Linked DNA regions of Bombyx mori. The protein of the gene in region 1 interacts with the protein of each later gene in a pairwise test. Links are inferred from orthologs where the notes say so. Each region holds a gene or a part of one and is shown on either strand. Other genes may lie near its edges.

What was found.
Region 2: the proteins of protein BCCIP homolog (region 1) and RpL23 interact in binary tests that used the Homo sapiens proteins (3 or more experiments, as listed by UniProt). The link is inferred for Bombyx mori from reciprocal best matches to the Homo sapiens genes BCCIP and RPL23.

What each region holds. Positions count from the first base shown.
Region 1 is NC_085132.1:4,572,806-4,577,125, reverse strand, and holds the start of protein BCCIP homolog, read right to left. Parts: upstream 2,884-4,320; 5' UTR 2,423-2,883; coding exon 2,306-2,422; intron 1,713-2,305; coding exon 1,586-1,712; intron 1,392-1,585; coding exon 1,264-1,391; intron 855-1,263; coding exon 718-854; intron 7-717; coding exon 1-6. UniProt on the Homo sapiens protein: During interphase, required for microtubule organizing and anchoring activities. During mitosis, required for the organization and stabilization of the spindle pole.
Region 2 is NC_085108.1:4,102,390-4,106,985, forward strand, and holds the start of RpL23 (ribosomal protein L23), read left to right. Parts: upstream 1-1,738; 5' UTR 1,739-1,759; coding exon 1,760-1,772; intron 1,773-1,958; coding exon 1,959-2,042; intron 2,043-2,818; coding exon 2,819-2,946; intron 2,947-4,596. Other genes in the region: proteasome subunit beta type-4, read right to left, coding at 415-551.

The DNA.
Region 1 (4,320 bases):
AGTATTCTGGAAAAGAAAATAATTATTTTTAAAAGTAGCAAAAAAACTAAACATTTCTACTTTAAAAGTCCCAATTATAATTTTCTCCATTTCTCCAGAAGTTCTGGAGACAATAAGATATTCACACAAATAAAACATAAGTATTTTATACATATATATCTGTATACAGCCAGTTAAGCTAGTGGGTTGCCCAGTGTAGGTAGTTAGGCATTAGAATAAATCATACTATATACAACTTACTTATATCATGGGACATGAGGATAGTCTTAATTGTAATGGCTTTCAAAACTAAAAAACATGGGACACTTCATAGTTACAGTCACTTGAGTGAATCAAAAGTTTTGGGAATTAAATATCTTACCTTATCTTATACCTTTAAACGAGCAATTCTTGTATATATATAATCTGAATCTCGGAAACGGCTACAACGATTTTCATAAAATTTAGTATACAGGGGATTTCGGGGGCGATAAATCGATCTAGCTACGATTTATTTTCAGAAAATGTTTTTTTATTCGTGTTTTCAATAATCAACTTTATGACTATTCCCCACATCTATTGGCAGATAATCAAACTTATTTTTCTTAATTGAGGGCAACTAACCGCTTTAAATACACAACAAGATGGCATTATAAAAAAAAAAAAAGAGCAAAGCTCGGTCATCATCTAGTCTATAGAAAAAAAACAATGAAATTCTGAATACTCCAAAATTTTTACCTTTCATTAATAACTAGGCCAGTATGCTGAGAATCATCAGCCAGAATATATTTAATTAATTCTTTGGTTCTGGGATCTGCATTCTCCTGAGATAGTTTTGTAAGCAATTCTCTGATCTGTGCCACACTGGGTTCATTCTGAAATAGTCAGTGAACTATATTAATTAGATAGAACACTACATATAGAGAAGAATATTTACATATCAAAAGAATAGAAGTACACTACATAAGGAAAGGCTATTTGGTTTAAATGACATTTTTCAACTTTACAGGAGAGCCATTTAGAGATTAAACTTTGGAAAAAAATATATATAAATGTCACATATTAAGCAAATTGTCGCTTAAACCAAATAGCATTTTACCTCTCAATGTTTTTTTTCCCATGTTAGTTTTTTATTCATTGGTATTTTAGTTGAAACATATTGATAGTTTGGGAACTCAACAAAAATTTGTTTAATTGATTTCAAATTAACTTTTATTAAGGAGTAAATATCACTTTTTAAAGTTAGTTGAAATGTTTAATATAAAAACATTGTATTAATCTTACTTTTCTTTTAGTAATATTCACTACTGTAGTTACTCCAAAAACTCCATCACTACCATCGTCCTCATCATCGTCATCCTCTTGACCATCATCCAAACATTGCTTCACAACACTGCCTATGTAATTTTGTGCTGACAAAAAAAAGTAGTGTAAAATTATAAATTGTATGATCCAATTGATTATTCACTATTTTTAAAAACAATTCAAACTTTATAGCCAGTACAATTAAAATTTTACAAGCAATTTTTTTTCTTGGTTAGAATTGAATAGGTACAGAGTTTTCTGGTAATTTGACAAGCTCTGTATTAAGTCACAAAAGTCTTACATATAATAATTTGGGCTAGCCCTCCAAGGTCAACATTTGATTTCAGAAACAGTTGCCTCAGTAGCTGCTTAATACCGTGGAAGTCACTATCTTCTGGGTTACGTCCTTCGAAATCAGCCTGTAGCTCCTGAAAATAGCAAAAGAATATCTCGATGCCTCCAATGAACACTACTCTAACTCAAAATTTTGAAATTTTCGTTTTTCACGCAAATCGCTTCACTATTTTAAAAGTATTACATATTCATTATTAATGGGGTTCGAAGCAAGAGTAAATCAACTAGTTACACAAGAAAAAACCATAAAATCTTTATTATTGCAGATATATTTATCAACTTTTTTCGTTTAAACTCTCCTCTTGTAAACCTACGAATTTGGAGTTATAGTAGTGTTCATTGGAGGCATCGATCTTAATTTAATTTTCAGTAATTTTGAATTTCACAATTTGGTTTGGAAAAAGGGTGGGGAAAAGCATTTGTCACTGGAAACCGCTTTGCTGTTACATGCTGCAGTAAAATACGCCATATGCTTTAATATAGTGATTACATGATTTGAGTTTATTTGTAAGTTTACTGGGCATCTGCAAGAAAGTATTTGTGTACTAATCTCATTTATTTTCATTAAGTTTATTTATCCATTTTACATAATCTAGTTGATTGTATTTAATTACACGATTAATTGAAACAAAGAGCCATGTGTTTTGTAGGTTATGGTTTTGCTTACTTTTTCACCGACATAGTTGCCGTCTGAATCAAAATCAGAATCTTTTTCGCTGCCTGAATCTTGTTCCTTTTCGCTTTCGCTGTTTGTGTCAATTTCCTTGTTCTTTTTATTAGGCATTTTAGCAAAATAAACAAACGAGGAGGTTATTAAAGAAATATTATACAAGTTGAAAATGAAATGAGATTAATGCACTTTTATTCACTTATTTTTAATGAAAGGTTTTGTTAGCTGTATGACAGTAGTAGTTCTATTGATCCAACTGGAAAGGCAAAAGTATTATGCCATACAGCTTATTCTTTTATTATAATATAATATATCTTTTTTATGAAAAATAAGTAGTGAAATTAAATGAAATGGAATGAAATATAATATCAGTAAAACGGTGCCTAGCCATTTACTGAAAATTTTCCAGAGGACTTTTTGGAGGACCCAGAGAAGTTACGTCCAGCGGCTTTGTTCTATTTTCCCAAATTTGTGCACTTTCACAGATAACTAAACAATTCATCATAAACCACTGTTATCACACATTTAAACTTGAAGAAACACTAAATAGGTAGGTATACAGGTCGCTGGGTGACATTAAGTGTATTAAGCTTTGTGATTTAACGAGAGCGGTCGGGCGGCCTAGGAAAGCGATCTGAGATCCATTAATCATTGGATAGATTTTTTGACCAAAAATATCGAAACGCAAACGCAATATAAACTGTTATTTACGTTTTTAGGCGTTGTTTTCATTTAAAATAAACAAAACTACATTTAGTTAAATTAATAAAAGAAAATATTGTTGTTCGAGCAAATTTTATATATATATTAATGAATAACCAAATTATTAAACCACCTTACTAAGTGACGGGGTAAGTTGGCGGGGGTACAGGGAGACCCAGTGAAACGGTATTCGCCGCTGTCCACCGATCAGTAGGGGACCTGAACCCGGGTGTTGAAGGATATAGAAATGCTCAGATGAGAGAAACTAACCTTTTATTAATATTATTTATTAAAGACACTACTGTTTTTACTGTTATACATTTTCGTGAGACCATAGTGTTTTTATGCTACCTACTCTTCTAACCACTGACATTAAAAAAATACTAGTGTTGTGCTACAGCTCACACTTCTTAATAGGGATGTACCCACTAACAGGTGTCACAACTAAACTCCGCCCCGGGAAGCTGTCCCGCCAACCAGTGTGAAATCCTGTCGTGCGGTCGTCGTGTCGGAGTCGCAGACTGGAGTGGATCCCGGCGATCGTACGCAGGGTGGACTGGGGACCCTTCCATGCCCTGCGTCAGCCTTTCACGAACGGGGGGATCGGACGCTTCGGCGAGTGTGCAGGGGAGTCTCTAAGTTAATAGGGCCTTATATACCAATCTTGAGCCCGCAGTCTTGTCTTAATATCTACGGACCGTCCAGTCCCATATACGTCGCGCGCCTCTCGTAGGAGGTTATGCCCCCAATGCAGAAATAAAATAGCACCATTTTTAAGATCATGGAAGGTCAATAGATTCAACTGTGATTCAACTAGGTTTACCTACGTCCTAAACAATTTAAATAATGTTTTAGAAACGTCTTACATAACTGTAAAATTACAAATTATGTCGGACAGGCCAATACTGTTGTTTACTTGTATAAATTTTAATGTATTTAATTGCATGGAAATTGGTCGACTTCTTGGCTCAAGGTGATCCTGGGATTGAATTCGTCATGTTTATGGGATTCAGTATTTTTTATTGGTAACCCAAATTTGATATTGAATTATTTGAAAACACAGAGTAAATACTCATATTGAAATAAAAAAAATATCTATTTTTATTTTGAAAATTATATATTGAAATGTAACTATGAATATTGTGCTTTCGTGCTGAAATTATTTACTGTTTGTAAATATTCAATAAAAGCGTAAAATACGACCACGATGTTTTGATAATCTGAAAGTGGAAACAAAGAGAAAATCAATATAACATCATTGAGAAAGTTGATGGTTCGTTTATTAAAAGCTACGTAAGCTAAATACGTTT
Region 2 (4,596 bases), on another chromosome or scaffold:
AAATTGGCTAATATTGTTTGTTTATGCTTTTAAGAACATTGTACTTAATTATGATGTATATTTTTTAGAATTTTTTATTTATTTTGATAGGCATTAATGCATCAACTTATAATAAAAAATATTTTATAAATTAGGTAGGGGATCAAATGATTTTCCGAAATTCAAAATTTTATTTAAAGATTCGAAATATTTCGGCGTGTCACTACAAAAAGTAATTACATTTTCTATTTGTCTCGAAGTGAACTTACACTAGTCTGTAAATATCAAGTGGCTTTAGTTTGTTTTTATATTTTTAGGTTTTTTAGTAATGTGGATGGTCATACAAAGCGGTCTCTATAAAAAAAATTGTTAACATCTACAGCTACAGCAACTGCTGTTTATTCTGATAAGTTATGAACAATGATTAATACTTACTGAGCTGTAAAATCCTGTACACCGTGCCTGGATGGAGCAATTGTGGAAGCATTTCCAGGAAAATTATAAAATGCTCCAGGCGACGGTCCGTTTTGCCACAACGGCGTGGGGTTCATCGTGTCCCCCATAAAAGCCATTGTTATATTATTTTTAATACGAAGTTAAATATTGTTTCAGCTTATGAATTTATGTAGGTGTTTCAGTTATTCTTTTTGCCAGTTTTTGCAGAATGACAAGCGGCTATGATTTTGACATGTAGGTACTACATTAGGCAGTGTTGCATAAATTGAAAACCAAAATGGAAGTGATGGAAAAGACTGAGTTTTCGAAATTTTCACGTCAAGAAAATCACAAATCACTAGATAAACAAACGCTATACTAGCATAAAGTCAAAGCTATCTGTGGCTACTCTAGGCAATTATTTGTTATAATTAAGGAGCCAAACAAAATCAAAATTAGACTTTTACATGACAGACATTAAAACTTTAGGTATGATTAATTTTCATATACATAGCTCTTTCGAACATAATACATATTATGTTTAATAGAATTGATAGTATGATTTCACAAAGTGAAAATTTACAAATATGCAACGTACATTAATAAAAAGTAAAGTAATAAACCAAAATACCTAGCAACACTTGTTAATGACAATCATTTTTTTGTTACGATTTGTTTTACGCAGATTAATTGTTGATTATATTTTAATGTTATTTTTCTTGATTTATAATTTTTAATCTAAAAATAGTCTTGGAAATTCTATTGTATTTTAAATTAAAAATTCCAACAAGTACAAATAAAAAGTGAAAGTTAAAGTCCGCAGTTATAGTGTAGAGAACAAAAGTAAAGAGCTTAATCTCTGTGTCTGAAAAAGTATCCGTCGAAGACTTCGATCAATAATATTAATCAAGTCAAAGAGCAACCATAAAGTGGTACCGTACCTAACATCGCTGTAATTTAATTTCAGAGAAAACTTCGCTACGCAGCTTCACTCCGTATATTTTATTTATACAATTGATAATTGTTAAGGCACAACATGCACAAAGAACTTAATTTCGTTTAGAAATCAAGTAGGAATAAAAAAAGGTTTTAAAAGATTATTTGATTAAAATTACATCGCACAAACAAAAAAATTTCAGTTATGTGTTTCAGAAAATTTATTCAAATAGAACAAATTTTAATAGAAATTAATGTGACCATTTTGCTTTATAGATTGATAAGATCGCCTACAGTAAGTTACTAACTTCAAGACCTTCACTGACATTTTGATTTTTGAACGAGTACGACAACAAAAGTTACTAGCTTCACGTCCCTATTATTTCTTTCAAAATTTTGATACAACAAAATGTCTAAGAGAGGTTCGTGAAATTCTAAATTATCCGAGTAAATCGATTCAATCCATGTGATATTATAGTACACAATATGTACGAATCCATAACCATACGAAAACCATTGCTCGGAACCTTTATTTCGAAGTGATTCTATCTTATTGATTAGTTGGTGTTTTGGTGAAAATGTATAGTGTTATGTTTTTCTGTTTAAAGGACGTGGTGGTTCCGCGGGAGCGAAATTCCGTATCTCCCTGGGTCTCCCAGTGGGAGCAGTAATCAACTGCGCCGACAACACAGGTACTTTTAACTAATGTTATTGTGACGAACCTCACATAACCTAAAACCACACGATGCTCTGGGTTGTGCATCTAATGATGATACCTATCGGACACAAATTTGTGTTTTGATTCATAATGATAATCTTCCTTGGCTGTGTCTGAAGATGCTCGACCGATAATAATTAAATGCATAGTTTAAATGATCAAGTATTGATTGTCTTGAGAATTTACAACAATAATACGTCAGCGGTCGGGGAACTTTTTTGATTATTACCCCTAAATATTTTTGTGTAAGTTGATATTACCCCATGGCGAAGAACAAAAAAAAACGAAATCGCTTCTTTTTAGTATATTTCATATTAAAGCCCCATGATAATTTTGAAAAGAAAACAATAACTAAAAATTTAACGATTCTAAAGAAGTTTCACTTCAATATATACTTTTTATTCACAAAAGTTTCATTTTTACCCCCCAAAATTTCATTTTACCCCATTTGGGGTAATTTACCCCGGTTCCCCGACCGCTGATATAAGTAGAAAAATTATTGAAAATTATCATAAATATTTGAGAAGTGATAGTGTAAAATTTTTAATCTACCTTTTCGTGCTCTTTTCTCTGGTTACTCCTAGTAAATCTGAATAATATGAAGTACCTACAACTATTTTTTTTTTAAAAACTACCTTCAGTTTGTGACACTTTTTCGTTTAATACAAATTCTGCAAACATTATGAAGAAGAAGATGCCAAAAAGCCACGCATAAAGTGGTTTCATACTAATGTCTCTTAATTATTTCAGGGGCAAAGAATCTGTATGTGATCGCTGTCCAAGGTATCAAAGGTCGCCTGAACAGACTGCCGGCGGCCGGTTCCGGGGACATGATTGTGGCCACAGTCAAAAAGGGTAAACCTGAACTCCGGAAAAAGGTCAGTGTATATTAATTGTCTCATGAAAAGTTTTAAAGTATTTTCATCTTATTTCTGTTTCTAATTGTATAATAATATACAGTCAAAGTTTATATGAATAAAACTGTAGAAGGCTTTTACATACTGAAATGATATTTCTCTAAATATCCTAATCCTAATAAAGGCTTTCTAAAAAAATTATAATAAATAAACTTTTGAGTTCATTGTAATACATTATAAAGGATTATTGCTTAGTAATATTTCACTATAAGAGGAATTCCAATCAAGCTATTTTGGGCAAGAGACTGTTGTTCCAAAATTAATTGATACCCAGACTCCCATGGCCAAATTACTTTAAAATACCTATATTCAGTTTTTTTCTCATTGATACAAAATACTTATCAATTTAAAAACTAGTTAACTGAGTGTGTAAGTGGTTGATATCGACCCCTTTCAAATCCCTACTCTAGTATTTTGTAAGGCAATACAGATAGGACTAAAGTCAAACATATTTTTATAGCTTTGCATTCTGATTTGAAGAATGCTATATAAAACTATGTTTCAAGGTTTAAGCTGGTGTTTGCATTATGTCTAGACGTCAACAACTAGAAACACCAAACAAACACTGGATGGTACCATCCATTATCCTTTTGATTATGTTACAAATTTGAAACTATAAAATTGACATAAACAAATCCTGTTGTCTACTTCTATTAAGTCAAAACGCTTTTCAATCATTCTATAGCTATTTTGGTGATAGTAAAAGCTGGTTGTTGTAAATTAAAAATTTGTTGCTCATTAATACCTATCATATTTTATTTTGTTACAACAAAAACCAAGGGTAATGTGCTTATGTGACATGGTTCCAGCATAACCAAAGGTACCCCTGATATTTCTCATATTCATTGTGCTGATGGTGACCACTCACAAAAATACTGAATGAAAACGTTTTTTGTTTTATTCTCTACCCTAGGCTGTTAATGTTTTTTAAAATGGATTTAGAATTGACACATGTAATCAAACTCGGATGGAACACAATAGGAATCATGTTGGGTGTACATTCCAATCACGAAAATACTGAATGAAAATGTTTTTTGCTTTTTATTCTCTACCATAGGTTGTAAATATTTTTTTTAAATGGATTTGGAATTGACACCTGTAATCAAACTCAGATGGAACACGATAAGATGTTGGGTTTACATTCCACTCACGAAAATACTGAATGAATGTTTTTTAGTTTTTTATTATCTATGATAGGTTGTAAATGTTTTTTAAAATGGATTTGGAATTGGCACCTGTAATCAAACTCAGATGGAACACGATAAGAATCATGATGTATATAATATATATATATTTTTTTTAACAATCACGCCACGTTGACTGGCCCCGTGATAAGTTCGTAAAGAACTTGTGTTACAGGTACCAGATAACGGAAATAAATATAAGATTTTTATTATACACATACATAGTTAATATACATCCATAACCCTGGAAAAGACATTTATATTTATCATACAAATATCATCCTTTGGCGGGATTCGAACCCGCGACCCCCGTATGTAGTGACCATGTCACTTACCACTACACCAGACGGCCGTTTAAACTAAACTGAATTGCTATGATGATATGCCAGAGGTTTCGCTATTTTATTTCATCTGAAACATGTTATGC